Diceros bicornis minor: one gene and its partners. The protein of the gene in region 2 binds, or shares a complex with, the protein of the main gene of each other region. Links are inferred from orthologs where the notes say so. Each region holds a gene or a part of one and is shown on either strand. Other genes may lie near its edges.

Region 1 (10,022 bases), on a different chromosome or scaffold from region 2:
CTGTGAAGGGGTGGAGCCGGTGGGGAGGGGGGGTCAGTGGGGGAAGGCAGGCTGAAGACAGGTCTCCCCACACAGCTCCGGGAGCCACATTTGCAGCTTCAGCTGTCTGTCCAGAACCTGCTCCCACCTCAGGCCCAGGCTGACAGTGAGTATTCTGCCCCATCCTGCCCTGGCCAGCTTGGGGGAAAGGGGACTTCAGCGGGGCTCCAAGAGTCTGGGGACAATGGCATCGTGGTGCACTGAGGGACTGGAAAGTATGCTGGTGACTGCGGTTTGGGATTTGAGGGAGACAGGGTTTGGAGGGTGATGAAGGCAGGCAAGTGAAGGTCAGAGGGAGATCTGGGAGCTCAGTGAATAAGGAAGCCATTGGGGAACCCAGCCACCAAGCTTCCAGGAGACCAGGCCCTTCTACCACAGAGCCCTCAAGTGTCCTCCCAAGGTTCCCTCAATCTCCCTGAGGCTGGCAGGGGACCCAGCCCTCGCCTCACTTCCAGTGGGGTAAGAATAAGAAAGCAGATGGAACAGCTGCTTCTGCCCACCCCTGCTTCAGCCTCGGTCTCTCTGCCACCCCCACCCAGCCTTGCCAAGAGCTCAGGTTCCAGGGAAGTCTGGGGGGGGAGGGCAGAGCATGGACCGTGTGATATCAGGAAGAGGGGGCACTAGGATACTGTACCCAACCCCAACCCTCCCTTCACGTGAGTCCCCTTTCTCCTCCTCCTCTTCCTTGGCCCAGACCTCCAGATTCTTCTTCCCCTCAATTCTTTCCTCTTTGCTTTCCCATCTGTCCCCTCCCTGCCCAAGTCCTTTCAGAATGGCCCCTACACAAAATCCCAGGCTGCTCAAGGGCTCCAGGCAACCTTGAGGTGCCCATCCTGGATGGGGCCGATAACTTAGCCACCAGCACCCCTCCTTCACATACCCCCCTTATCCCCGCCATCAGCCCAGCTTGGGTTCCATCTCCCCCATGTCTCTGTGACAACTGCTTCTCATATCCGGAGTTCAGGTGACACTCACAAGGGCCCCATTGAAGAGCTGGGATGTCATCTGATCAGGGCCCATTGTCCAGCCCATCAGGCCTGGGGAAGGATGGGGACACCTGATCTGAGACACCTGAGCTGCCCCCTGAGACCATGGAGGGGCTGATTGTCCCAAGGCCAAGGCAAAGAGGCCCCTGCTTGGCAGTCCCTCCTCCTCAACAGACCCTTCCATTTTTCTCTTCTCTCGCAGCCCCTTGAACTCAGAGGACCCGTGCACTCAGCCCTTTATCTCCCTCAATACATTTTAGCCCATTCTCCCTGCTGCCACTGTCCCCACATCAATTAGGTCAGGCTGGGGGTGGGAGTGGCCAGCAGCAGGGACAAGTCCCACAGGATTCCTCTCCCCCTTCCTGGGAGCCCTGACTCCAGGGAAAAGGCTCAGACATTCCTCTCTCCCTTCCCACCACCACCCGATGGAAGGGCTGATTCTGCAGAGAAGTAAAAGGAACAAAACTAGAAGTAGTAGAGGTGAACCCCAGGGAAGCCAACGTAACATGTTCAGGAGAGAACAGACTTGAAGGACCAAAAGAGGCCCCCAGTCTGCTGACACGAAGTTCAGAGGCAGTGAGACCCGCCCCACCCCCGTCCTCATGAAACCTGGGGCCAGACACTCAGGCTGCCACCCTCTCCATCAGGCTGACCGAGGGCACCAGACTGACTCCTTGCTAGGGATGGGCAAAAGAGACAAGGCTATAAAGGGGAGCCCAGCCATCACTGCCAACAGCAGAGCTTGGCTGTGCTAGGCAGGCAAGGTCCAGCATAATAACAGAGCCAGAGGAAGCCTGGCCAGGTCCTGTGACCACCCCCGCCTGCCTGCCCCACCCTCCTCAGTGTCTGCCCAGGCAGCCAAGAGCCACTGCAGACTCCTCTGCAGGCCTCCAGAGCCAGCCCATCTCCAGCTGCTCTACCTCCATGCCCCAAACCCTGACTCCCTCTTGCTGGGGTATGGATTGAGGGACACAGAATACAGGTCTGGATTTAGGTCTGTTGGGTTCTCCCACATCGTAAAATCTCAGTGAAGGATAAATTTCAGTGGAGCTCTGATCTCATGGCTATTCGAGCTATGGGACCAGGGCCATGGCTAAGGGCTCCCCTCTACTGGACCACAGATACCCTGAGCTTGGTCCTCAGCTCACTTCCATGGTGGGGGTGGGTAGGTGAGCTGCGCAATGGGCTCTGAGCTGGAGACGGCGATGGAGACTCTCATCAATGTGTTCCACGCCCACTCGGGCAAGGAGGGGGACAAGTACAAGCTGAGCAAGAAGGAGCTGAAAGAGCTGCTGCAGACCGAGCTCTCTGGCTTCCTGGACGTGAGCACAGAGTGGGGGTATGGGGTGGAATGGGCAAGGGGTGGGGGAACAGAGTGGGCACCTCTCTGCCATCTCCCCACCCCACCCCAGCTCAGACCAACCATCTCCTTCCTCTCCCAGGCTTCTCTCCTGGGTTTTTCCAGGCTCCCCTAAGTCAAAATGCCGATTTATTGGTCACCTGTTAAAAGTGCTAGACTCTATGTAGATGCATCGATAACAAGGCTCACAGTCTAGAAGGGAAAGACTGACACTTGGAAGTAAACCATGAACACCAGGAAGTGACATATTCAGGAAAGAACAGAGTTGAAGGACCAAAAGAGGCCCCCAGTCTGCTGACAGGAAGCTCAGAGGCAGTGAGACCTTCCTCCCTCTGAAGCCTTGGGCCAGCCACTCAGGAAGTACGCAAAGCCTGAACAGAAGTGCCAGAAAGGCTTATGGGAGAATATTAACCTGACTAAAGTAGGACAGCTTCTCCAAAGAGGTGGCACTTGAGCTATGGATTTCCATCGCAAGGTTATTAAGGTAAATGTAGGTATTTTAGGAGGAAGTAACTGCATGAACAAAAGCATAGGAGAAAGAAGAATATGCAGCATGCTATATATAGTAAAGGAGAAGCCAATAGAAAGTGTACCAGCTTTGAGGTTTTATTAGACGTGGGTTCAAATTCTGGCCCTGCCACTTTCTAGCTGTGTGACTTTGGGCACATCATTTAACCACCAACTGTCAATTTGTTTCTTCTCTAGAATGGGAATAATGAAACCTACTTCATACTATTTGTGTTAGAATTAAATTAGACAATGCTTGTAAAGCTCCTAGTGTAGTGCTTGTGGCATTGTAGGCACTCAACATACGGTACTTGACGTTGTTATTGTTACTCTGCCTTGTTAAGGAGCTTATTCTGTAGGCAACAGGAGGCCACATGTGTTTTGTTAGTTTTGAGGAGGGGAGCAGAAGAGTCCCATAATTAGTCCCTCTTGTTCATCTCTGCCTCCTTCTCCCCAATCAGCCACCTCCCTTGCCCCTGACTCAGTGCTATTCATCTCCCTATACACCTACCTCTCCATCTCTTCCCTCCACAGGCCCAGAAGGATACGGATGCCGTGGACAAGGTGATGAAGGAGCTAGACGAGAATGGAGATGGGGAGGTGGACTTCCAGGAGTATGTGGTGCTGGTGGCTGCCCTCACAGTGGCCTGTAACAACTTCTTCTGGGAGAACAGTTGAGCAGACAGCCCCAGTGGGCAGCGCCCTTCCCCTCCACCCTGCCATACCTGCCCCTTTGCCCTGCTTCCCCCTCACCCCACTTTCCCCTCCCCACACTCCCACCCTTGCCCCTCCTCCAACAAGGGCGCAAGAGTAGTGGGCCAGGCCTGCAACTCATGTTTCATTAAAGGCTCCTCTCTCACCAGCTGCTGTCTGTCTCCTATGGGGTCTGCAAGTGAGTGGGGAAGTGAAGGCTGCTCAATCCCAGCTTGCCTTATTGGGGGGGGGGGGTCTTATTTGGAGAGAGATCAAGGGACCATTACACCTTCCTACTTGAGGAATGCTCATGGCCCAGGAAGGTAGGGGTTCAAAGTTCCAGCTGGAAGTACAGGAGATGTCAGCTTCTCAGCTATAAGACAGAAAAAGAAAGAATTTCCCTTTAACCTTGAAAGAATAGTTCCTGAGGACCTACCATGTACTAGACATTGTGTAGGAACTGGGGATACAGCAGTGAACAAAACGCGACCATTACCCTCACCTAGGTAAAGTAAGGTGGAAGGATGCTAGACCATTAAACACACACAGGAAAATGCTAGGAAAGAAAATGAAAGGATCCTGAAGTGCCTGTATGGGGGGGAGGAAGGGTCGAAGATGTGCTGATTTACTCATTCTTCAAACATTTGAGCATTTTATTGTGCACCCAGGCATAAGAAAAATCCTGTATAGGTCTGCATCAAAATTCAGCATGGATGGCAGATGGGGAGGGAGGACATGCAAGGGGATGCAGGCACACAAAGGTCCCCCCCAAATAAGGATTTAACAATATTCAGGCCAACTTGGGGAGGGAAGTGAAGAGGAAAATACGGAGGGCGTGTGGTGACTGGCACAGGCTCCAGTAGACGTGTGCTCCCAGCACCGGCCCCAGGCTGTGGCTGGGCCGTTTATGACACTCCACAACTCTGAACAGGGCGAATGATGACGAGAGGAGAGCCAGCGCTCATTACTCGGCCCGGTGGTAAGGAAGAGACCGAGGAAAGCCCCGCGTAAAGAATTTTAGACGGTCTGCCTTGGCTTGGGGAACCGGAAAGAGAGTGAAGAAACACGTAAACCTTTTTCATCAGGACCAAATCCGCTCTGAGCCGCCCAGATCTCGAACAACCCTGCCTCGAAAGCGAACCCTTCGCAAGACCCAAGGGCAGGCCATTGGCCACGCCCCTTTGTGGGCGGGGCACGGGGTGTACCTCAGACAGGGCCTTTGCTAAAGCCCCGCCTTCTCACTAGGGCTCCGCCCCCATCTCTGCGCAGGCGTAGCACAAATCTTCCCGCTCCCTAGTCGTGTGCGGACCGGACGCCTGACGTAATTGCGTCGGCGCCATTTTAGCCGGTCCCACTCCGCACTGGGCGTGGCGGCCATTTTGTTTTGGACAACGAGCGGGAGTTGGCGGCAGCGGCTGTGGTGGCACCGACGAAAGGCAGGCAAGGGCAGGCCGGGCGAGCAGACGGACCGGCCGACCAGACAGCCAGCCAGCAACAACGAACTAACTTAGCAGTCTACCGCTTACACACCTGACCAACCGCCCACAAGTGAAGCCGAGCCCCTCCACCGTCTGCTCAGGTTCGGCCGGCCCCCGGCCCGCCCGCCGCAGCCGTGGTGGCAGCCCCGGGAGGAGCACTGGCGTCTGTTTCCTTCGGTACGTGTTTGTGGTGAGAAGGAGGGGAGAAGTCTTGGGGAGCGGAAGGGGCCGGCGGACGCGGCACGGAAGGCGACGGCATGTGGAAGCAGATAGGGTGTCGGAGTGCGGGGGCCCGGGGAGGGGGCGGAGCCCCTGCGCGGAGGCGGGGGAGCGCCCGCGCTGGAGACTGGTGGCGGGGCTGAGGGAAAAGGTTGGCGTTTGATAGGGCTGGGAAGGAAGATGGAGCAAACTTGGCCGTGTTGACAGGGCTTTGAGATGGCAGGGAGATGAAATGAGGACAACAGGATTCAGGGAAGGTTGGGAAGTAATGGGGGCGGTAGGGTTACATTTTATAGAGCGCGCTCTGGGAGCTAACTCCCAGGTGAATGCCCCTTTAGGAAACCTTTCCTACTCCCTCCCCCGGGTCCCTAGTCCCTTGCTAAGGCCCTACTTGGGAGTCGAAAGCCAGGTTGAAACTAGTTATGCCTGTATCATCTTTCTAGACGAGTGGTTCTCAATTTGGCTGCACGTGAGAAGCGCCTAGGAATTCCGCTTTTTTTTTTTCTTTCCAGTTGCTGATCCGCAGACCTCACCACCAGAGACTGTGGTTTAATTGGTTTGAGGCCAGGCTTCTGTATTTTGTGTGTGTGTGTGTGTGTGTGTGGAAGATCAGCCCTGAGCTGAGCTAACATCTGTGCTAATCCTCCTCTTTTTGCTGAGGAAGACCGGCTCTGAGCTAACATCTATTGCCAATCCTTCTCCTTTTATTTTCCCCAAAGCCTCAGTGCATAGTTGTATGTCATAGTTGCACATCCTTCTAGTTGCTGTATGTGTGGGACATGGCCTCAGCGTGGCCGGAAAAGCGGTGCGTGGGGATCCGAACCCCGGGCTGCTGGTAGTGGAGCGCACGCACTTAACCGCTAAGCCACGGGTGGCCCTGTATCTTTTTTTTAAAGCTCCTTGCAGGCAGGGTTGAGAAGCACTGCTCTAGATTAAAAGCCAAACTCTTATACTTCCTTTAGCTAGGTCTAAGGCTGCCATTTTGGAGGCTTTGGCACATATTTTCTGTCCTGTGGCCTTGAAGTTTGTTAGTTTGCGGTAACTGTCTTATAAATTTAAGCACCCAAAATGAGTTCGAGTGTGATCTTCAGTAGTCATTGATACAAGCCTTTTCATTCATTGTGAGTGTGGGCCTTTGGCCCTAGCAGAAATGAGGTGGTTGTTATTCTGATTTGCTCTTTGTGCCCATTGTCCTTTTGTAGATTCTCGGGATTTGAAGATGGCTGCACAGTCAGCGCCGAAAGTTGTGCTAAAAAGCACCACCAAGATGTCTCTAAATGAGCGGTGAGGCAGCCAACGGCAACTTCAGCTCGTTCATAAGAAAACATTACTTAAATTGGCCTTGGGGTCCACTGCACAAAAACCGGTTTTAAACTAAATACCAACAGAAGGCTACAGACCTCTGTTCTTAGTTGCATCTTATGTGGTACACAAAACAGATTGGGCGGTTGTTTCAAAACCCCTCATCAGTAGATTTTTATGTTAAGCTGTCTGAGATATTTATCTGGTGGGATGTATTTTAAAAAGACTTCTCACACCCTCCCTTTTCTTCACATTTTTTTACGTTGATACAGGGGTGGTGCAGCTCGGTAGCATGGTACCCTGGCTGCAGTAGGCTTGCTGCCCAGTCCAAGGCCAGCAGTGTTGTGTCTGGCCTGTAAGAGGCAGGTAGCAAGCTATGAATATGTCCAAAGGCCCTGGAATGTCATTCTTGGGCCTTGTAAGAGGCACTTGCTTTGCTCCATTTCACTTTCTTTCCATTCTGCTTTAAGTTTGTTTTTGTTTTGGATTCTTTCACAATTAAGTGTTCTTCTCTTCCATTCCATTAAACTTACCTTGACAGGAATAATAGAAGAATGTCTTCACAAGCTCTTAAATGATTGAACGAATCACACTTTTTCAGAAGTAATCATTTGGAGTCAGAAAAAGTAATCATTTGAGGCTAAGAAAAGTTAAGGTATTTAACAGCAGTTTCTATCTCCAGGAGCTTTGTTCATTCAGTACCTTTGACCAGTGATTTTATTAAGTTGATGTTAGACCCCTGAAAGATTTCCCCAGTGTTTATTTTTGCCTTTTCTGAGGCATATGTGCTTCTTAACTCTTAGGGTATGATATACTAATTCTCTGTTCACATGTTACTAAGTGAACAAATATATAAGAAAATGTGATACACTCCCATAATATATATGAGTGTGTTATTTCCGTGGGCTTTGAAGGTGCTCTAGTCCTTCCTTATATTTGCCCTTAAAATACTCCCTCAGGTCCCCCAAGGTTTTGGCTTTCTTTCTTTGTCTTTGAAACTACATCTTCTGTCTCTTGTTGTCATCTTATCTGCTTATTGCGTGTTTTTCATGCCTTCCATCTCTCTAAAAGCCGTTACCTGAGCCCTTGTTATCACTTTTGATTGAATGTGCTGCACTTAGCTGCATTTCTAAGTTTCTGATTCTTGCAAGTTTGTGGAAGCAGAGGAGTCTTTAACCCACATCAGCCTTGATCTAAGTGTACCACTTTACTTAAAAGTTCGTGGGATCTGGAGCTCCTGGTCTAGCAGGCCATGAAAATGCCAATAAATGTTTTGTAATAAAGCTTTTATTTAAACATCCATTTTGTTCGACCTTGAAGCTTTACTAATATGCTGAAGAACAAACAGCCGATGCCAGTGAATATTCGGGCTTCGATGCAGCAACAACAGCAGCTAGCCAGTGCCAGAAACAGAAGACTGGCCCAGCAGATGGAGAATAGACCCTCTGTCCAGGCAGCATTAAAACTTAAGCAGGTGAGAGAATGGATCTTAACGCTCCAGAAGCAGCCGGTGATCTCTGTCAGGCAGTCCACTGAGGCTGTCAGGACGTGATGGATGATTACGAGGTGGCTCAGGGCAAAAGCTGAAACTTCTCTGGAGGAAAGAGAAGTTCAGAGAATTCCCATTTTGGCAGGTACCAAAAAATAACTTTTTGTTGTCTTTCTCTTTTAGGGAGTTTGCCTGTTTCTGTGTTATCAGCGAATATCACTCTCTCTTGTTTTCTGGTCCTTTGCCCTTAAAGTAGATTCACTGGCTTTTCACACAAAGTAATTTTGCTTTCTGTTTTACATGATCTTCAAAAAATCTTCTATTCTCTGTTAAATGGTTTACAAATTAGGGAAATAATTTTATCCTTTCTCCCTTAGTTCAGGGAGTCTGAATGGCCTTAGTGAAAGGTTTTCAGTGCTAAAATATAGAAAGAATAAGATGACTTGAATCCTACTGCACCTAAAGTTTTGTCAGTAAAGTAGAGCGAGGGCACTGAGTAATTAGTTTAAGTTAGTGGGTTCTCTTTCATATTTCCGGTAAGAGATAATCCTATTCAGACCTGAAATAAAACCTACTCTTTATTATTCATAGACTTTATATGCAAGTCCGGACAGTGGCTGTGGAAGGATATGTCCAAGCTGTGGCTGGACGTCTGGAGGGCGGTGCCATGCAACTGTAAGGACTTTAACTGGTAGCACTGCATGGCTGTGCATAAATTCAGCAGTTAAATATAACACCCTCCCACCCCCACCCTGAACCATTGGGCTCACTGACCAAAAATAAACAAGGCCTTCTGCTTCAGCTACCTTAAGCCTTGGAGTGACTGCATTCATCCCTGACTCAGGAAAGCAGTAAAAGGCACCACCATTTTCCAAGAATAAATATTAAAAAATTGCTGAAGATAAGTCCCTTGACAGATCACTCCACAGGACCTTTCAACAAGAAACTTTAAATAGAGGCTGTGCAGAAAGCAGCCTCTAGAGCAGCACTGTCCCGATAGGACTTTCTGTTGTGATCGAAATGTTCTGTATCTGCTCTCCAATACAGTAGTCACTAGCTGCATGTGACTATTGAGCACTCAGAATGTGACTAGTACAATTGAGGAGCTGAATTTTTCTTTTAATTTTATTTGTAATTTAAATAGCCACACATGGCTAGTGGGGCTACCTTAGCATACAGCACAGCTCTAGAGTGGAAACTGGATGGTATGGTTGACATCCTCAGGCTTCCTGTCAATGTTAGAGATCAGTATCGGTGGCAACTAAGGATTGAGAAGGGAGAAGAACTTGTAAGCGCTGTACATTCTCCCCTTAAAGCACAGATCTTAGGAGAATATACTCTAGATGACTGAACACAAGAGACTTGTGGAATGAAGTCCTCACCTCATAATTGTGTGTTATCAAGGGAGTGATGTGACAGGCTCTTATGGTTGGTTACACCTACCCATGCTAAGTGCGTAATGTTCAGAGCCTGCCCCTCTGGTTAGAAGCTGTTTATATCTTGTGCTAGAAAGCTAATAATAACTCAGCATATAGTTGCAAAAAAAAATCATTGGTAGTCACTTGTGGGTGAAGCCTGAGGACGTGTAGAATTTATTTCCATTCATTTTGACTGATGGCATTATAGGAAAACAGGTTTGCTAGGACCTTGGTTGTGTTTAAGGCTACACAGCCACCTTTTCCTTTGAAAGAATTTAATTCTCTGACGTGGTCTTCATAGTTTCTGTTTGAGGGACAGATTATTGAAAATCTCCATCTCTGGTATGTCCTTGTCGTCAGCTATGTAGCCCTGAGTTTTGTGATTATAGCTCACCTGTCTTAATTCTAATGCAAGTTTGGCTGGCTTTCTATGGAGATACATTTGAGTTATATGTTTATTTTGAATTAAAGGTCATCATACTGGCTTACTGGAGCTGTTTGCAAGGGTAGACATGGCATTATGACTGTTTA
Region 2 (10,121 bases):
TTGCAGTGCTGTTTAACAGGTACCTTGAGGTGGGCAGGCCCTGTGCCCTAGCACCTAGACTGGGGCTTCTTGCCCCTCCCTCCCTCTAGGCTCAGAACAGAGGTGTGTACGCACATGTGCACACAAGCGCACCCAGGTGTGAGTCAGGGCCCCTGAATGAGGCCAGGTGGCCCCTGAAGCTGGGGAGGCATGGCAGTTTCCCATCTCTGCCCAGCGTGAGGCTTGAAATCAGAGGTGGGGGCTCATTCCCATCCTCTCCTCTAATTCTCTTTCAGCCAGGAACCATGATCGAGTGGGGGAACAACTGGTGAGTGGCAGTATCGGGGGTTGGGGGGACCCTGCCCACCTGCCCTGCCAAGGCCCCTGGTGGGCCACCTTTCCCAGGGACGTATGGCAAGGAACCCGGCATCCTCTGCCCCTCATGGATGCAGAGAAGAATCCAGCCAGGAGGTGAGGATCTTCTAGAGGATTGTGAGGCCTCCCCTGGTAGAACACCCAGCCAGCAGCTGCACCTCTGTCACCCATCCCCTGATCATCTCTGAGAGCCAGGGGCCATACCTCAGGCTCCTCCCTTGAGGTGTGGCCGAGAAGTCAGCCTGAGGACACCTCAGAGGGCCCTTTGCACCAGGCCTGGCCTCTGCCCCATACTCTTCTGTCATCCCCAGGGCTCGGGCCATCAAGTACCGGCAGGAGAACCAGGAGGCAGTGGGCGGCTTCTTCTCACAGATAGGAGAGCTCTACGTCGTGCACCATCTCTGGGGTAGGCTGGGCACCACCCAGGAGCCCATGCTAGTCCCCTTTCTCCGTTGTCACTCTGCATAGACAATGCAAATACATTAGTGTCCTTGTGGAGTTTACACTCTAGCAGAGGGAGACACCACCTCAGACAAAAACTAACAAAAAGATAATTTCAGATTATTAAAAATAATAAAGATGGAGAAATGATGAAGAAAAACATGGGAACCTGCATTGGCTTGGATAGACAAAGAAGGCCTCTTTGAGGAGGTGAAATGTAAGCTCAGCTAAAGGATGAGAAGGAGCCAGCTGTGAATTGCTAGGGAAGGGTATTCTGAGTAGAGGGAACAACATGTGCAAAGGCCCTGTGGTGGGGAAAGGCCTTTGGCATTTTGAGGTGTGCAAAGGAGGCCGATATGAGTGTGGGGAAGAGTGTGAGGAGACGGGGACAAGCCAGATCAGGCTGGGCCTTGCAGGCAGTGGGGATGAGTTGGGATTTATTCTAAAGGCAATGGGAAGCTGCTGCAGCATTTTAAGCAGCATGCAATGACCTGATTTCTGTTCTAATGTGATTCTTCTGGCTGCCATGTGCTTTGCCGAGAGCGCTTTGTAGAGCGAGAGAGGAAGTGGGGCATCAGGAGATGGTTATACTAGTTCAGGCAGGAGAGGATGGTGGCATGGCCTAAGATGGTGGCAGTGAGGATGGTGAGAAGTCCACTGATTCGTTAGTCTGGAGGTAGAACCAATGGGACTTAGGAGTGAGTTGTCTGTGGGGCGAGGGAGGGAGAAGAAGACTCCAGAACTCCTAGACTCCTGCTTGAGCAGCTATGTGTCACTTACTGAGACCCTACAGGAGTACATTAGAGGGGTCAGGAGTGTAATTTTGGTCCTCGGAAGTGTTACATTTGAGACGCTGACACATCCAAGTGTGGATGTCAGGTGGGCACTGGATATACGAATCTGGAGCCCGAGGGAGAGTTCTGGGCTGGAAATATGAATTTGGGAGTTGTCAACAAATGTACTGATTGGATGAGATTGTCAAAGCAGACAGTGTTTGCTAACAGTCTGAGGCATCAGCGGGGAAGAGACAGCAGGGCAGGGTTTGGGGCAGTGGGAGGAGGGCTCTGTGCTGAGCACAGGATGAAATCCTCTGTGCCCAGGGAATGATCCAGTGCCTTTCTCACAGCCTATAAAGACCTGCAGTCTCGAGAGGAGACTCGAAACGCTGCCTGGAGGAAGAGGGGCTGGGACGAAAATGTCTACTACACAGGTGAGTGCCTCCTTGGGGCGGAGGGGGCGTGGTCAGCCAGGCCCTTGGAGGTCATCTGCTAGGAGCCCTATCTGAGGATGGAATCCCCTCTGCAAGGAGATCTAGCTTCACTTGATTACCTCTAGTGATGGGGAACTCACTTTTAAGACAATTAATTAGTGAGTTTCCATCCTGGTGGCACATTCCACATGAGTCTTATGGCTGAGTGCTCTAGGGGATGATAACATAGCCAGGCAGACCCTGCCTCAGAGAAGTGGAGTAGCTGAGTGCACACTGTAACCTCAGGCATCATTCTTCACCTCACTGAGGCTGTTTCCTCATCAGTGAGATGGCAATGGTGATAGTGCCTCCTTCAGAGGGCTAGAGGGAGGATTCCAGAAGCTAATTTATGAAAAGTGCTTCTCCCAGACTCTGGCACAGAGGAAGCACACAGCAGATTTTTTTGAGCAAGTTTTTTGCTCATAGTGTTTCCCACTTTGCTGGGATCCCTGAGAACCACCTGGAGTCAGTAGGTGTTGATTGAGCCCTCACTGTGTGCCAGGGACTGTGGTGGGCGGTGGCCGGAGCGTGGGCTCAGAGTGAACAGGAACCTGTCCCTGCCCTCGAGGAGCTGACAGTTAAGCTTCCACACTTAGCAGCTGGTGTGGGGGAGAATGCGACTCCTGAAGGAGTTAACCGGAGCCTCGCTCTTCAAAGTGTGGTCCTGAATGACAGTCTCAGCATACCTTGGAAGCTTGTTAGAAATGCCACATCTTAATCCCTTCCCCCCACCTGCTGAATCAGACAGAATCTGCACTTGACCAACAATTGAAAGTAATATGTATGCACGGTCAAGTTTGAACAGCTCTGAGCAGGAGGAGAGAGTCTGACCTCCTGGGTGACCTTGAGCTGACCCCCTCTGGGCGGCAGCCTCCCCATCTGTAAAATGAGGCAGTGTTTTTCAAACCTCAGCTAATTGAGGTCATCACTACTGCTACAATTATTTTCTTGATACTTTTCTTTAAATCCCTGTACTTTATTCTTCACCTAGCCTTGTCCTAAGCAATAACATCTGTGAAATCACTTTTTACTATGCTAGTTGTTTTTTCACATACACAGGAAAATAAATATATAATTCTGAAAATAAAAACAATGTTCATCTCATCACCACCTAAGTCCCCTCTTATCCCACAATTTGGGAAACCTGGCGCACTCCATGGGCCCTTCCAGGAGGGCAGTGGGGCTCTTCCTCTGTCAGCATCCCCGGCATCCTCCCTCTTCAAAGGCCAGTTTTGGGGGTTGGCTCGCCTCAGCCCTCTCCGTGACCTCTGCCTCTCTCTCCGCAGTCCCCCTAGTGCGACACATGGAGTCTCGGATCATGATCCCTTTGAAGATCTCACCTCTCCAGTGATGTTGTGGCTGCCTCCACCTCCTTCCCCTTCTCCCTGAGGGAAGCCATGGACAGAAGAGCTCCCAGTCCTGCTGTCTTGGTTTTCTCTTGGATCTGAGAGGACTTGTGGGGGTAGTGCTCAGCTCATACAAGGGGGAGCTGGATGACAGGGTTCTGAGGACCTGCAGCTCTGCCAAGACCATTGCCACCTTCCCCGCCCCCCCTTCCCCAGTGCTGGAAGCAGTTTTTAATTTCTCTGAATGAAGAACAGCCAACTTTTATGTCTCCTGACATTTCCCCCTAAGATTCCTCAAGGCCACCAGTCCCTAATTATCACCAGGAAGTCCTCATCTTAGCTTTAAGTTGCACAAAAGGTTGTGTGTCCAGTGGTTAGAGGTGGAGTGGGAAGGGAGGAGGTCAGACCAGGCCAAGCATTCAGGAATTCCCTGGTCTCCACTGGGGCACCCACTTTGAGCCAAGTCCTTCCTGATGGGAAAAAGCCTGGAACAGCTTCAAGAAGCAAAGGGGAAAACTCTCAAGTTAGCAAAGTCAGCAGGAGGTCCAATTCCACCCAGAAAGGCTGGGAAAAAGGATGGGAACCAGGAAGGACTTGGGGGCAGGAAACAGAATGGAATGGGAACCCAGAAGGTAGAACTTACAATTCAGAACTTGGGTTTGAACTGCAGAATGTGGAATACAGAGTTGGGAAGATAGAACAGAGGTGACAGAAGACTACTTGGGGAGAGGTTCCCAATACAGGACAGTTGGAGAGAGGCTCGTCTGTTCTCCCTACATAATGAGGTTGAGAACTTGAATGTGTAGTTCTAGCCCTTCAGTGCAGGGAGAGTCTTCTGCCCTCCTGTCTTCCCTCCTGCAGGCAAGGTACAAGCCAGGGCTTGTATTTCCTGCACTCTGCATTCCTTTTTCCCCTCTTCACATTCTCCTCATTCTGCTGGGCCACTGGGTGTGTGGAGTGGGGTCAGTGACTTTGGGGGCCTCCTCAGTGACCCCTACACCTCATGAACCTCTGGGTAGCTTGATTTCTGCCTCCTTGTTGGAAAAACTTGTGTTGGAGTTGCTGATGGAACCAATTAAATATTTACTATAAACCACAGTGTCTTTTCTTCATCTGCAAGGAACTTTGGCAGTTGCCTGGAGCAGAGCTGAGCAGAGGTGGCCAGCTTCCCTGTTCCTGGCTGATCTACCCCCCTGGAGGGTATTGTGTTCCCTGAGCTACTCTTAGGGAGGCTTCAGCCTCCTCCCATGGCAGAGGGAACTGCCCTGTTTAACCACAGATTCAGGACATCAGTGTTTCTCCCTCTAGATAAGTAGGATTTACACCAAAAGTCCTGACACCTGTCTGTACAGTTCATCCCAGGGGTAGAAAACACTTGAGGGTGTCAAATGCTGCATTAGAGTTGTGACTGCCCTTGGCAAATCGGGCCTAAAATAGGGGAAATTATTGATACTTCTGTGGGAAAACCAAGTGTAAGATGGGATTAATGCCCTCCCCAACTTGCTGCCCTCACTAGTGTGGGATGTTAGGGTGAATATGACAGTGGTTAAGAATCCCAGTTGTATGCCAGCCCCGATGGCCTAATGGTTGAAGTTCCATATGTTCCACCTTGGCGGCCAGGGCTGGTTCCTGGGCATGGAACCACACCACTCATCTGTCAGTTGAAAAAAGAGAGGAAGATTGGCAACAGGTGTTAGCTCAGGGCGACTCTTCCTCTGGGGGGAAAAAAATCCATGTTATGGAGGCAAACCCACAGGAGTTCAAATTTCGGCACTACCATGCTCTTGTGTTATTTTGGGCATAACACAAATTCATTCAACAACTACTTGGCAGAGCATCTACTAGTTGCTGGGCATTGCTTTAGGCGCTGGGGAAAGAGTGAATGACGCACATAAGAGTCTTTGACCTCGCAGCCTCAGTTTCCCACCCTGACAACCCACGTGACACCGCCTACCTTGCTCCCACCCCGCCCAGCCGCTGCCTGCACCCAGCAACTGCTGCCGTCTGGGGCCTTCCCGCTTCACTTCCGCCTCCACGCCTCGCTTCCGGCCGGCCGCTCCTTCCTTCCGCTTCTCTATGGTGCGCGGGCTGCAGTCTTCCTCTTCGCCGGAAGTGGCTCGGTTTCCCGGGCGGGTGCGGGGCGCCGGTCGGTGAGGAGGGGACGTGGTTGGCGGGGACGGGCGGCGAGGCCGGGAGGCGGGGCTGGTCGCTTGGGGACTGAGGTGCGGACAGTTCGGAGGGCGTCCCCGGGCTGGAGTTCGGCCCGGGTTCTAAGTTCTCACTCCCGCGGGTCCCCGCCCCCTCGGCGCCGCGCCCTGTCTCCTCTTGTAGAAAATGTCAGCTGCAGCATCGTCAGGCCCCACATTGTAGCCTCGAGATGATGACGGTGGTGGCGGTGGTGGTGATAGCTCACACTTATTGTGCGCTTATATGTGCCAGGCACTCTTTACTGTGTTGTCAGAGTCGGGATTTCCCACACTTAAACGCCTTTCCGGTGCCACCTTTGTGGGTTTTGCAAAATTACCGTGTATGACTGTTTACTAAAGGTTTTTAATCCAGTCACTTTTTAAATTTAAATGTACGTTAAAAAAAATTTTGTCTCTACCATAAATGGAAGACTTCTTGTCATATGCAGAAAATAATGATAAAAATTAATGTATTTAATATGAAAACAGATCTTTGTTAATGATTCTAGCTAGGTTTCATTGTCTAAGGCTCTGAGACGGTCCTTTTGTTAACAAAGGAAGGTTGGAGTTCATAGATGTTAAAGACTAGGAAAATGAAATGTTCTTCTTGAAGCAATCAGAAGTTTCTAACAAGAATTGAAAAGGGATTACCTTTCTCCTTAGGTGTTCAACATTAAGATCACCCATGTGCCATCTGAGGCCAGATCATCTTCATCACCTTCCCCAGTGGAGTGCTGCCTGTGTTTCTGTCCACAACAACCCCTGAGGTAGGGACTGCTGTTCTCATTTGATCTGTGAGGAAACAGACCCAGAGGAAAGTGAAGTGACTTGTCCCAGGACTTGTAGTCACAAAATAGTAGAGTGGAGACTCCAACTCAGGGCTCCTCTGACTCTACTACGGTGAGCTGTTGGCTCTCTCAGGAGGTGTTAGGGGTAAGGGGGATAGTACTGCCCACCAGGGGCTGTGGTGACAACCAGGAGAGGTAGCAGAGGGAGAATGCCTTGTGACCGTAGAGCCCCGTGAAATGTAGGTTTCGTTCTTTTAAAGTTTAGGGTTAACCAGGGAGTTGATGGCATCACCAGATGAGGTGGTGGCAAGACTAGGAGGCACAATAATGTAGCTGTCAAGAGCACTGGTGTGGCATCAGATGGACCCAAGCTTTAGCATATTAATTATGAGACCGTGGGCAATTCATTCACCTTTCTCAGCCTCTGTGTTGTCGTCTGTAAAATGGACTTGCTCTTATCTGAAAGGTTTGTTATAAGGATCAAATGAGAACATACTCATAAAGTGCTTAGATCAAGGTCTAGCACACAGTTATCAATCCGGAGTATTGGGAATGGGCTTATATGCCAGGCTGAGGAGTTTGGCCAGTGGAGTGGGGGTGGTACCTTTAAAGGAGATGGAGGTGAAGAAGATGAATTCGTTTTGGACAGGCCGAGGGATGATTCCCCTTTTTACAGAGGATTAAACTGAGGCTTTGGAGGGTTGAGTGACTTTTCTTGAGTTACCAAGCGTGTAAGTAGCCAGAACTGCTAGTTAAACTTAAGTACTCTGACTCCAGGAAAATCGGTTCCAACTCTGGAAAATCTCAAAAACATTCTTCTCTTAACAGGTCTCTACTGTTTCCTCCTGACCTCATCAAACAACCATGTCTTCAGAATCAAGCAAAAAACGGAAACCCAAAGTGATCCGAAGTGATGGAGCTCCAGCTGAAGGGAAGCGTAATCGTTCTGACACTGAGCAGGTGAGATCAGCCAGGGCCGCCATGCTGCTGAGAAATTGCAGCTCGTGGCTAAACACCTGGCTGTGGGTTTGCAGCACCTGAGGGTCATAGGAACAATCTCCCACATGGCCTCTGCTTGACCAAGTCAAGCCTGGAATTCTCTTGGCTCTGCACAACTTGAGTATCCACATCAGGTTTAGCTTGGGCATCCCAAGAACCAACAAGCCCGTATGATTAGTGCATGAACAGAGAATGCATTTTAGTATGGTGTGTCTCCAGTTTTCCTGATGGTCAGAAGACGGCAGTCCATCTGCTGCATGCTGCTGGAGCTTTGGAGATGTGGCATCCCTGGTCTGCTGCAGAGACACTGTCAGAACCACATGCCTGCAGAACCTCTTTTGTGGCCTGAGAGCTCACGTGGTCAGCAGGTTCTTCTCCTTTTGCTGTTTCTCTGTCCTTGAATCTGTCAAGCTAATTTATGACTTAACTTTTGATTATTTGATTGGTTATATTTTTTGTTTTTTTTGTTTTTTTTGCTGAGGAACATTCACCCTAAGCTAACATCTGTGCCAGTCTTCCTCTATTTTGTATGTGGGTCACCACCACAGCATGGCCACTGATGAGTGGTGTAAGTCCGTGCTGGGGAACCAAACCCAGGCTGCCGAAGTGGAGCGCGCCAAACTTAACCACTAGGCCACAGGGCCAGCCCCTGTTTTTTGTTTTTTAAACTGGAATAGAGAAACATACCATCTTAAATTTAGATAGAAAGTGATGCTTTCGCCAGATTTAGGAAATCAAGATTAATGAAGAACCTTATCCTTTTGGGGCATTGATTCTGACTCTCTTTCTCTTTTTTTTAATTGAGGTATAATTGATGTATAACGTTATATTAGTATCAGGTGTGCAACACAATGATTTGATGTTTGTATATATTGTGAAATGATCACCACAATTACCATCCATCACCATACATAGTTACAAAAAGAATTTTTTTTTCTTGTGATGAAATTTTTTTTTCTCCCCAAATCCCCAGTGCATGGTTGTATATCCTAGTTGTAAGTCCCTCTTGTTCTTCTATGTGAGCCGCTGCCACAGCATGGCAACTGACAGACAGGTGGTGTGGTTCCAAAAGCAGGAAATGAACCTGGGCTGCCAAAGTGGTGAGAGCACTGAACTTGAACCACTAGACCATCAGGGCTGGCTTGTGATGAGAATTTTTAAGATCCACTTTCTTAGTGACTTTCAAGTATGCAATACGGTATCATTAACTATAGCTCACTCTCTCTCAAAGAGATGTGTTCTGTTTACTCCAAAGGCTGGGAGGTCAATTATGATATTTTAGTCTCTGCTAAATCTTGACTTGACCATTTAAACACCCATCAGTATGAATTTGGTTAAATCAGTTCTGGTTCATCTCTGTAGTAGACTGTCATGCAGCCATTTTTTTAAAAAAATTTTATTTATTTGTTTATTTTTGTGAGGAAGATCAGCCCTGAGCTAACATCCGTGCCAATCCTCCTCTCTTTGCTGAGGAAGACTGGCTCGGGGCTAACATCTGTGCCCATCTTCCTCCACTTTATATGGGACGCCGCCACGACATGGCCTGACAAGCAGTGCGTCGGTGCACGCCTGGGATCCGAACCCCGGGCTGCCAGCAGCGGAGCGCGCGCACTTAACCTCTACACCAGGGGACCAGCCCGCATGCAGCCATTTTGATGGAGATCTGTATTTATTGGGATGGGAAATTATACTAAATAGCATGGACAGTATGATCCCATTTTGTTTAAAAATAAAATTTGTATTTATCCATAGTATTAACAATGGCGTTATTTCAAGCTGGGAAGAAGTGAGATTACAGGCAATTTTTCATTTTGTTTTTGATGCTCCTCACTATGTTCCTCTGACACCAAGTATGCATTACTTTATAAACAGAAAGAGGAAAAGACCAATTCTTTCCCATTTTGAAAAGAAGAAAAACATTTGATTTGAGGACCATGATCCTTTAGAGACCTGATCTGAGGCTTCATTGTTACCAATTTCAGCTAGTGTCCCTGGTCTGAACAGGGAGACTTTTACCCCTTACCCAAGGCCTCTATCCTTGCCTCCACAGGAAGGTAAATACTACAGTGAGGAGGCTGAGGTGGACCTGCGGGACCCTGGCAGAGACTACGAGCTGTACAAGTACACCTGCCAGGAGCTGCAGAGGCTTATGGCCGAGATCCAGGACCTGAAGAGCAGGGGAGGCAAGGACGTGGTAAGCAGTGGGGCTGGGCAGACATGAAGCTGGTGGCTCTGCATGGATGGAGCTGTTTTGCACCTACCAGAGCTCTTCCTGATTTTAGTCTCCTGTCTTAGCTGGGATCAGATGGTTGGAGCCTAGGGGCTCCAGAGACCTGCCTATTAATTTATTGGAAGGTCTCACCACCACTCAATCACAAATTATAGTAATGAAAGTACAGGATAATTGGTTTTTCCATAACTGTAATTTGATAATTCATCCACCTGTTACTAAGTGCTAGGCATTTTGCTGGGTATTGAGAAATGATGGTACATGTAAGTTCCTTTGCTGTTAGAAGGATAGATATATCCAAGTAAATCATAGAGACTAGAAATGAAATTATCATTAATATTAAATGAATAAACCAGGCCTTAGGGCAGAGAAACTAAACAGTGTGACTGAAAACTGGATGCATAAGTTCGAAACAAAACAGTCCATATTTTTCCAGGAATCTCACTTATTTGTGCTTAGCCTGGCCAATATTGTTACGATTATTACATCCTATCTATTTTATTATAGCCAAGCTTTACAGCTATAATT
Region 3 (10,710 bases), on a different chromosome or scaffold from region 2:
TGAAACAGTTTATGCAAAAAAAAAAAAAAAAGAACTTTTAAAACAAACTTTACATGTTCAGTGAGATTCCAGAGGCTGTAGCATGCAGTAGAAGAAAACGAAACTCCAGAGAAGTGCAAGGTCCTAAACAATCTGGCCCTGTCCATTTCTCCAACCTCATTTTCCACTGCTCTCCATCTTCCTCACTATGGCCTTCTTTCAGTTCTCAAATATGCTAACCTTCTTCCTAACACAAGCCACTGCACACACTGTTCTGTCTACCTGGAATGTTCTTTCTTGCCTTCCCCTGCCAAATCCCACCCTCACAAATATACAACTAATTCCTTTCCACACTTTAAGTTTTAGCTTCAATATAATTTCCTCAGAGAGGGCTTTCCTGATAACTCTATTTAAATACTGCCCAAGCATTCTCTATCTCAGTCTCTCATTCCTTTGATTTTGAGTGACCTTGGGACTAAGTTACTTAAGCAGTGTTCACCTCAGGTTCTTCACCTGTAAACTGGGACTAATAGAGAGACCTACCTCATAAGGTTCCTGGGAAGATTAAATGAGTTCATCCATGTAAAGCAATTAGAACTAAAGCACACAACAGCACTCAACAGATGCTATTATTTCCTTCATAGCATTTATCACATAGTGAAATTCTTTTATGTTTTTATTTACTTTATTAAAAATCTGCTCTCGCACAGATTAAAAGTTCCATGAGGTTAGTAACTCTTCTGTTTTGTTCACAGTGCCAGGCTCATATATATTTGTTGAGAATAAACAACTGAAGAAAATATTATCTGAAAATGAATAAAATATTATTATATCAATATGTTAGGACAGTGTGGTGGTCATATAATGCTCCGCTCAGATCTTTTGCTGTGGGGAGTATAATTGACTGACAGCTTTAGCTGTTAACCTCTGGATCAACCACATTTGCACCAAGGCCAGGCTTTCTGAGGGCTGCTTTCTAGTCAATGACTGAACATGGCAGAGGTACTAGTGCAGGTCCATTCTGGCAAACCACGGGACTCCTCTAAGAAGAAGTTTGGCCTAAGGACTCGCCATTGGCAAAGTCAAACCTTTCTTGGATCTGCACTTCACTCAGAAACTTCCTACCTAATCTTCCTTCCTTCCCTCTCTCCTTCCACAGGTGTCAGCCCTGCATTGTGGTCTGCAAGCTCTCTTTCCCTGCCTGCTCCTACTGACTCCATAATAAACCTCTTGCACATCTAATCCTGTGTTGGTGTCTGCTTCTTGGTAGACCCAAACTAACACAATTAGGACCTCCAGAAGCAAACCCTGAGGTGAGAATTCATGAGCAAATAATTTACTAAGGTGCTCTCAGGAGAAACTAGTAAGGGAGAGGGAAACAGGACAGGAAAGGGGAACAAGCCAAGCAATGCGCAATTTCAGGCAAAATCTCTGCCTAACCCTGCAGGGAAGCTGGGCTTACCGTGGCAAGAAGTCACTCACTATTCTCTCTCTCACCTTGAATTATGTTCACGTATTGTGGTCCAACCAAGCTCACCAAACAGGCTTTTTCAATGTACACTAAATAATGATGTACAGTACTTACAATTTAATAAAATAATAATACTGCGTATATAATCCAAAAATATTCTACCTATGGCTGGCAGATGGTAGGCACTCAATATGTGTTGAATAAATAGTACAATATTAATATAAAATGCTTGAAAATTGCCACCACCCTATAAAAAAGACAACACCCACACAGTTTTCATGTAATTTCTCTTTTTCCACAAAACTGTAAGTCCCAAAATATACACAAAGTGCTATCCTTCTTCCATTTTTATTCTTCTCAGTTCCATTCCTCTCCCAATGAAGGAGTCTCATTTTTCTTGCTCAATTTTGCTTTTTGCTCAAACATCAGTTCCCTGTCAATATCATTATTTCAATCCACTCAAATTACAGAGAGAGAAAAGGGTAAAGATGGTTAGGGCCCAGAACTTGAACCAGCAAAAGCTGCAATTCAACATCCTAATGTGGTTGACTGATGAGAATGGAGCAAAAAGTTTCCTTTTGCCTGGGCTAGAGGATAAGGACTAGAACAAAAGCAGATGAGGCTGCCTCCTTGGTCCTTTTCTCCTAGATCTCACCACTCCAGTGGTAACCTGAATCCAAGTAAGAGCACAGCAAGGAAAAGAAGAGGAATGAAGATGTGAATGCTTGGCACTGAACTAAACCACCCACCCTGGAATTTCCAATGGAGGGTATCTCCTAACAGAGAGGCAGTTCCTGGTCCATCTTACCTCACTAGCATAAGAGGAAAAACCAGTGCGTAATAAACGTAAGCAAAGAGGTTACATGTTATTGGATGTCTGCCCTTTGAACTTTATTATTACAAACTTTTGAAAACTTATAATTCGTTGTTATTGATGACAATATGATCCTTACCCTTATCCAACTGTAAGGAAATAATGTATGAGACATTAAGATAGGAATGTCTGTTGGTAAAGATTCAAGAGTTAAGGATTAAAGGTAGGCTCAAATCCCAAACTAGCTTTCTCTAGCCATGTGACCTAAGACAGATGAGCCTGTTTCCTCACTGATAGATAACTATGTACAATGCTGTTGTAAGGCGTAGAAATAATACAAGAAAAGTGTCTGGCTCATAGAATGTACTCAATAAAACTTGACAATTACTTACAACAGTATAACATGGTGTAAAGAGCACGAAATTTGGAATCAAAACCCCTGAGTGGTCTCATTTTGCCAATTACCTCTATCAAGAACCATACCTCTTTGAGTTTGCTTCCTTGTGTGTAAAATGGGCATAATAGCTGTATTACCCACCTCAAAATATCATTTAGAGGATCAAATGAGATACTACATGTTAAGTACACTGGGAATTATAAAGATTTTTTAACGTGATCTAAATGCTAAAATATTTTTTACTGCAGTGATTTTTGTTTTTTGTTTGTTTGTTTGTTTGTGAGGAGATCAGCCCCTGTGCTAACATCTGCCAATCCTCCTCTTTTTTTTGGTGAGGAAGACTGGCCCTGGGCTAACATCCGTGCCCATCTTCCTCCACTTTATATGGGACGCCGCCACAGCATGGCTTGCCAAGCAGTGCGTGGGTGCGCTCGCAGGATCCAACCGCCGCAGTGGAGCGCGTGCACTTAACCGCCTGTGCTACCGGACTGGCCCCTGCAATGATTTTTGAATGACATCTTTTTAAAATGCATTACTACTTCTTTGCTTTATTAAATATAATCTTAGGGCCAGCCCCATGGCTTAGCGGTTGGGTGCGCGCTGTCCGCTGCTGGCGGCCCGGGTTCGCATCCTGGGCGCGCACCGACGCACCGCTTCTCCGGCCATGCTGAGGCCGCGTCCCACATACAGCAACTGGAAGGATGTGCAGCTATGACATACAACTATCTACTGTGGCTTTGGGGGGAAAAAATAAAAATAAATAAAATCTAAATATAATCTTATCTTGAGGTCTCAAATCATACTGATGTCTATGATGTCTTAGCTCTTTTTAATCTATCTAGCATCAGATTGCTGCTTTTTAAAAATAGGTTTTATTTTTTATTGTGGTAAAATATACATAAAATTTGGCATTTTAATCATTTTAAGTGTACAGTTCTGTGGCATTAAGTACATTCACATTGTTGTGCAACAATCACCACTATCCATCTCCAGAATTTTTTCATCATCCCAAGCTGAAATCTGTACCTATTAAACAATAACTCCCCATTATCACCTGATGATTGCTGCTTTTTTCCTACTATTTCTTTATCTGGTATTGCTTCACTTGGTAGCAGCAAAACAGCTCACTTTCTCCTCCCCCCAAAATATACTGCTGCTGTAACTTAGTAGGAACCATAAAAGCCATTTTTAACCCACAACATTCTTTGGCCTCAAACATTAATACAATCTTGTTCCAACTTGACTTTTCAGCACTATTTCTGTTCAGAACCCAAGGTTAAAGTCAAAATAAACAGCTGTCTTTCACTATGTTTCCTCCCTTCCATACCTCGGCTCATACCATTCTCCCCATTTGGAATGTCTTTCCTATTTACCTCTTCCCACTCTTACCTATGCCTATTGGAATTCAAAGTCCAGCTCATATTCTATCTTCTCCATAAAGGCTCCTTGACTACCTCATACAGTAGTGATCTCTCTCCTTTGATCTCCTACAGCAGTTATTACCTAAATTACTCACGATAGAAATTGTATACTGTAGTTGTTTCTTTTATGCCAACCAGAGCTCCTCAAAACAGGAATTAAACTATATTATTTTGTTCAATCATTTGTTCATATATTTATTATTCATTCAACAAACACTGTCCACTGTGTATAAAATGGCCAACAAATGTTTGCTGAATAAACAAAAATTCTAAGTCACTGGGCTTTGATGGACGAGTCAATCAACTCCAGCTCTTCTTATGTTTGGGTTTTGGTAAAAAATAATCTTATATACCTCCCAGGTCTTAATTGTGCTCCAGGTAGCTAATAATCATCTGTAACATAATAATAATCCTATTACACTAGCTACCTATTAAATCAGCTAATATCAGTTTATTTTGCCTCTTTGGAAATTTAAGTCATACAATCAAACCTGAATGATTCTGCTGATTCTAAAAAAGAGTGCCGTGCTGTAGGTAGCCATCACTGTTATCAATCCCCACTTAGGGGCAAAACTAGGCAAAAGTATCTTTTTGTTAGCTTCCCGTATTCTCGTTGGATGTCAACGAGGGGAACAATGTAAAGCGCACCTAGCTTTCTTCATTTAGGTACACGTGGAAGGGAATAAGAGCTGGCAGGAAGTTCCTCGTATTTGGGTCAGTGCTTCTTTCCCCACAGCACAATGCCAACTGAGAAAGTTACTGACAGTTGGCTTCTCATAACCAAGCCTCTCCAGTGAGAGGAGACAAAGGAGGAAACTGCTGAGGAGACAGCGTTTTGAAACGGGTGCCTCTACCTGGACGCGGCGCCCACCCACTTTCCAATCAGAGCCGAGTATGGCATTCCTCCCCGGTCTTGATCGTTCAGTAGAGACCTCCACGTGCCACCAAAGTTAACTGAGTCCAAGATATTAACAATAAGTTATATTGCTTTACAAGCCACACTTGCCTTCATGGTTTCATTCGCGCTTCTCAACAGCCCTGTGATACAGGCATTATTTCTATGTCACAGAAGAGGGAACTGCTCCTGAGCCACAGAGCACTTGAACTACAGGGCTGATACGTAAATCCGGAGCTGAGACCACTCCTTCGGGGAGAATGACTGAGGCCCGGCGGTCCCCGGCCACCGCCAACACTTGCCCAGATAACCCGCCTGCCTTGGATTCTCGGGCAGCGGTTACCTTCCCGCGCGGCGCACTGAGCCGTAACTAGCCGCCACCCTCCCGGCTTCCCCAAACCGGGAAAACCACCGCCGGTGCGCGTCCCGGCTTAGGGCCCGCCCGGCAGCGCAGAGCTTACAGGACGAGGCAGCCCAAATGCCGTCACCCCAAGGGTACGCCACAAACCCGGACTAGGCTCTGCGCGGCTGACTCAGGCTTCCAACGCCCACCTGAGTGGGCGGTCCCCACAGAGTCTCCGGACTGGCAGCTGGCCCCCCCCTTGGCTCACACGCCGCTCTAGCCGTGCACCGAGCCGGCAATCTCGTTGCTCTCGGCTTGACGTCATCAGCGGGCGCCACAGCGCGGTGGCGGGCCAGCGCAGCCGGGAAGATGTCTCCGACGCCGCAGCTCTTCAGTTTGCCCGAAGCGCGGACGCGGTTTACGGTGAGCGGAAGGCAGGAGGGGGCAGGCCTAACCCAGGGCTACTCTTTGCCCTCCTCTCTCTGAAATTACTCAAATTTTGCCCTGGGATACAGTGAGGACCGAGGCGTGTACGCTGCGGCGTGGGCTCCCGGCCCCGTCAGGGGCTGGAGGTGGGAAAGACGCTTTACCTGCGTCTTTCGCCAGTCCTTTGCTGTCCGCCTCCGCTCTCCCGCCAGCGGGCCCCGGGACCCTGATGTCTGGGCGTCTTGGAGCCCTGCGTGGAGGGCTCATCCGCAGACTACCTCCGGTGCGGGCCAGCTCCTCGTCAGTGCTCGCTTAGCGGGGCAGGTGTCTCCGGAACTGGACGGGGAGCTACGCGGGGCGGGGGGGTGTGCGGAGAGGCGGGCGTGGTTTCAGCCCAGAGAACCGGCTCCTGCCCTGCCTCCTAAGCTGCCAGGTGGTTTTTCCGTCTGTCTGTTCCCTGCACTTGTAACTCTCAGTATCTCGCTCCTAAGAGATCGATGAGGAGATCCTAAGTGGGAAGAGGCAAACAGATCAGCTTGGGAAAGGTTGCCAGATGTTATTTTATTCTTACGCTTTGGGGAAAAGCAGTTGGAGCTTTGGGAAACACTTTACAGAGCGTTTTCATGTTGGCTTATTTAACTCTTACAATAGGAGTGTGAAGTAGGTAAGTTTTATTATCCGTTGTATATGAGAGAAAAACTAAGACACTGCCCCCCCCAAAGTTAAATGATTTACTTCACTGATTTTTCTGACTTCAGACCCAGTATTCTTTTTATATTGCCCATGATAGCCCCAAACATGAAGAACTCTGTTCAAAATTGTTTGACTGTATTTGTCTTTAGCATTTGTGCCAATATTTCAAGTCATGAAACTACTGATTATGCTTAACTATGCTCATGTAGTTGTAGTCATGCCCGAATGAAAATTCTGTGAAAGAAAATTGATTCTTTGTAGTCAGTAGTTTTCTTGTGTTCAGGTATTATTTTTTTCATACAGTGTGGTGTTTGTTTTTTACCAAATTATATGTTGTTTATGTTATCAGAATCGTTTTCCTTCTGTGCATTTTGCTGTAATCCCTGGTGCTCTGAAGTTCTGCTAAGAGTAACTTGAGGAATCTCCAAGATCACATTAGTCCTGGAAGGGACCATTTAATTGGAGATCATCTAGTCCATTGTTTCTCAAGTTTCCGTGTGTAGTGGGATCACCTAGAGATAAATTGTTAAATGTAGATTCTGGTTCAGTAAGTCTAGAATGGGGCCCGAGATTCTGTATCTCTAACAAGTTCGGAGGTGATGCCACTGCTGTTGTAAGGATCTACAACATCCCTCTTAGTTAACTGGAGAGGAAAATGAAGCACAAAGAGATAAAACGATAGGCCCGAGATTACACAGCCTATTTACAGTATAAATCTAACTCCTATGAGGCAATAAGATGACTTTGCAGGTGTATGTGAATTTTCACAGAATGAATGACTTTGCAATATTCTTGTCTTTCAATTATGACTACTTTAAGACAGTCAGCAGGGACTGTGCTGATCAAGCTACCTAAAGGAGGTAGGACTTGAGATGGGTCTTGAAGAATGGATAGAATTTGGACGAGCAGGTGGAAAGAACAACATGAATGTATGAATACCCTTGAGTGAGCTTGATAGAAACTGATGAAAAAACAGCTAGACCTTAGTGGAAATTATGTTAGGGTGTAGTGGGAAATAAGATTAGATAAAGTGAGTGGGATAATATTATCAAGGACCTTGAGAGTGAGCTATGAAACTTCAAAACCAAAACCTGTAAATAGAGAGCCATTTAGAGGTTTTTAAAAAAAAAAAAGCAGAATACTCTCATGAATGTGATATTTAAAGAGATGGTAGGAGGGAACACCTGTAATAAGAAAGTCTAGCTAGGAAGCTCTTGACAGGTTTAAAGTGATGAGAGTCTGTATCAGTAAGTGGCGTTTGAATAAGAATTACTGATAGAATGATTGGTAGGTAATTTTTCCCAGGTAAAAATATTTTTTACTTAGACATACTATTGATAAGTGATATGGTTTTCAGTAAATAATAAGCAAAATCTTTCCACTTATTTCCTATTTTTATTTTTCTAGAAGTCTACCAGAGAGGCCCTGAACAACAAAAATATCAAGCCATTGTTGAATACCTTCAGCCAGTTACCTGGCAGGTACGGCATTGACATCCATGAAATATGCTTGCCTGGATCTTTGTACTTACCTTGAGCTGTTTAAAAAATGCAAGTGTCTTTTGTTTTTTAATAGTGAAAATGAAAAAAAATGTACCCTTGACCAAGCTTTCAGAGGTGTTCTAGAAGAAGAAATTGTAAGTATGCTTATCCTTTATTAAAATTTTGCTGGCAAATTAATAAACTAGTTTTTAATAAAGCAGGTTTTTTAATTGCTTTTATTTTTAGAATGGATATTTAAACATTACTTTTTTTAGAGTGAGCTTGCTACTTTGTGAAAGCTGACTTGATAATAGTACAGGAATTATGTAATAATTAAGGGATTCAACAGCACAGGTGCAATTTAAAGGTTTGGTTTAATAAATGAAGAAAGCCCTCTGCAGTGAATATAAGAAAAGTTGACATGAGGTCTTACTTAGCAAGAACTAGAAGTTGAAGGTGAGCCCTCTCACATTGCTCTATCAACATCCTGTAGTGGCATGAAAGGCCTAGCCTAAGGATGTTCAGCATGGGAGCTGGGATTCATGTGCTCATTTTCTTCTGGCATCCTCCTCATTAGTTTGCATTCAAAAAAAACTACAGCCTATCCAACTTCAGTAGAGAATTTAATCTAAACATGAGCAGTCTGAATTTATTTACCATTAGTGGGGCACTCAAATGAAAGGAAAAGTCTCAGCAGTTTATTCTTGGTTAAGCAAAGGCTGGGTCCCGAGAAGCTAGATCCTTTTCTAACAGCCATAATACAGTGTCCCTTTCTTTCAGACAATTCTGGATCAAAAGTCATTCTTCCTCCTCTTCAGACATAACTACCTGTCGTGAGCCATTGGGCAACTTACTTTGCTTTTCTGAGCTCAATTTCATTTGTAAGACAGGCAATACCATTCTTTCAGGGTTGTTGTATAAAACAACACTTAATGAACACTCAATAAATGCTGGTTTTTATGATGTTATAGAACCTAAGCACTACCTCCCTTCTATTAAAACCCTCCCTCAGACATGCTGATGCCCCAGTGCAATTAATTCCCCTGGCCCTGCCTTCGCCCATGCCATTGATTGAGTTGTGAACCTTAGCACTTCTGTAGTTGATTAGCTTACAGCCTAAATCATGCTAACGTAAACATTTTCCTAAGACTGTTGGATTTTAAGTGAGTCTCCTGCTTATTGTTTACTTGATATACTTCAACAGTTAGTGACTCTGTTACCATTCATTTTTGTATTTTCATCTTAGAAAGTAATTTTATCTTCTATAAGAGACATTTTTATCCCATATTTGTAATAATCAATTTAATGTCAGAGGGTATGTTTTTATTGTTATCAGATTAGTCTGAACTCTGGCCCCTAAATTAAGTTGTTTTCTCCTCTGTTGGTAGATAAATCATTCGTCATGTGAAAATGTTTTAGCTATTATTTCTCTTGCTATTGGGGGAGTAACTGAAGGTAAGTATGGTTTTCTTTTTTTAAAGTAATTTTGGACATGACATGCTTTATTTAAAACTTAGCTAATTTTGTTTCTCCCCATATCTCCCCACCTAACTTTGTTCATTCTTCAAATTCTGCCTACCACCTTTGCTAAGAAGTTGTCCCAATGAAATTAGCTCACACTTATTTTTCGTCTTTATTATGCAGCACACATTTTGGCACTTCCTTTGATCTCCAGTTGTTTTGTTCATTCAGCAAATATTTATTGAGCATCTACTATGTGCCTGGTACTGAGCTAGGATTTGGAGATTCGTTGGTAAATACAACATATTCCTTGCCCGTAAGGAACCTAGTGACTAATGGAGGAAACAGATGTGTAACTGTCTTACTGTGGTATAATTACTGTGGTTGAAATGACTTTCTAAACTTCAGAATCTAAAGGAATCAGGAAGGTCTTAGAAAGGAAGCTGTAACACAAGAGCTGAGATGTGAGGGATGATGAATTTGTCAGGCAGAAACAGAAGGGAATAGCTATGGAAAGGCCAAGTTCAGCATGGCTAAAGAACTGCATGGAGCAGAGGGGTGAGAGAATAATGAGAATGGTGAGGAAAGAAGCAGGAGGAGTAGGTTAGGGTCATTTGTAAAGGGCTTTGTGTGCCGTGCTAAAGAGTAGCTATGGAGGAAAAGTTGGATTAGGAGAGACTGCTGGCAGGAAAACTAAGTAGGAGACTTAAAATGGGGCAGGGGCAGTGGGCAGTAGTTTCAAGAGACTTTAAAAAAGGTATATAGTAAGTACGCGGTGCCTAACATATTGGAGGAGCTCATTAAATATTTGCAGAAAGAAGTAATGAAAAAATAGTTCATCAGTACTCTTTAAGCAGTTTGGTTAAAATACTCATTTGATTAATTCAGATAATTTATGTGAAAAGTGCCTTTAATCTGTAAAGCATTAATCACATATTTATTATTTTGATACTTATTCCTACAAAAACTGGAACTTGAAAGTTAAAAGTGTTCTTTCAGTGTAGCAGCAAGCTATTTTGTGAACTTAAGCATAGTTCATAAATTCTGACAATTCTGACTTTATGTGTTTTATATGAGATGCTTATTCATTCATTCATTCATTAAGCATATTTAAATGAGTTCCACAATGGAGTGTTCTTTGGCCAGTTTGTCAGTTTTCGGTATCTGCTTAGTTCATGGATTACCTTGATGTGTTACTCTTATAGACAGATAATGTTTTTAAGGCTTGAAGTTGTACAAAGTCTATATTTAGAACTTTTACTTTCTCTGAGAAAGATGAGAACTTACAAACCTAAACCATAATTAAAAGCTTAAATGCTTTTTTATTTT

Evidence for each region.
Region 1: THOC5 (region 2) and CHTOP share a complex: the UniProt entries of both Homo sapiens proteins name them as parts of the transcription/export (TREX) complex. The link is inferred for Diceros bicornis minor from reciprocal best matches to the Homo sapiens genes THOC5 and CHTOP.
Region 3: the proteins of THOC5 (region 2) and THOC1 are in contact, whole or in part, in a cryo-EM structure (PDB 7APK), measured with the Homo sapiens proteins. The link is inferred for Diceros bicornis minor from reciprocal best matches to the Homo sapiens genes THOC5 and THOC1. Residues at the interface, in NP_001002877.1 of Homo sapiens: Tyr52, Arg113, Lys120, Asp124, His127, Leu128, Gln131, Asn132, Leu134, Tyr135, Glu136, Met138, His139, Thr145, Lys146, Glu149; in NP_005122.2 of Homo sapiens: Glu60, Arg145, Arg146, Leu147, Ser148, Ser150, Gln151, Lys285, Met286, Leu289, Val296, Tyr297, Phe298, Leu302, Ser304, Leu307, Leu310, Gln311, Ser313, Asp314.

What each region holds. Positions count from the first base shown.
Region 1 is NC_080743.1:57,860,150-57,870,171, forward strand, and holds the start of CHTOP (chromatin target of PRMT1 protein), read left to right. Parts: upstream 1-4,949; 5' UTR 4,950-5,240; intron 5,241-6,484; 5' UTR 6,485-6,501; coding exon 6,502-6,566; intron 6,567-7,904; coding exon 7,905-8,058; intron 8,059-8,664; coding exon 8,665-8,748; intron 8,749-10,022. Other genes in the region: S100A1 (protein S100-A1), read left to right, coding at 2,207-2,347, 3,427-3,570. UniProt on the Homo sapiens protein: Plays an important role in the ligand-dependent activation of estrogen receptor target genes. May play a role in the silencing of fetal globin genes.
Region 2 is NC_080774.1:23,158,217-23,168,337, reverse strand, and holds the start of THOC5 (THO complex subunit 5 homolog), read left to right. Parts: upstream 1-5,467; 5' UTR 5,468-5,540; intron 5,541-6,239; 5' UTR 6,240-6,343; intron 6,344-7,192; 5' UTR 7,193-7,228; coding exon 7,229-7,324; intron 7,325-9,413; coding exon 9,414-9,557; intron 9,558-10,121. Other genes in the region: NIPSNAP1 (protein NipSnap homolog 1), read left to right, coding at 276-307, 666-760, 1,922-2,005, 3,331-3,395. UniProt on the Homo sapiens protein: Component of the THO subcomplex of the TREX complex which is thought to couple mRNA transcription, processing and nuclear export, and which specifically associates with spliced mRNA and not with unspliced pre-mRNA.
Region 3 is NC_080755.1:14,297,752-14,308,461, reverse strand, and holds the start of THOC1 (THO complex subunit 1), read left to right. Parts: upstream 1-5,637; 5' UTR 5,638-5,689; coding exon 5,690-5,743; intron 5,744-5,910; exon of another isoform or gene 5,911-6,058; intron 6,059-7,846; coding exon 7,847-7,920; intron 7,921-8,014; coding exon 8,015-8,075; intron 8,076-9,308; coding exon 9,309-9,375; intron 9,376-10,710. UniProt on the Homo sapiens protein: Component of the THO subcomplex of the TREX complex which is thought to couple mRNA transcription, processing and nuclear export, and which specifically associates with spliced mRNA and not with unspliced pre-mRNA.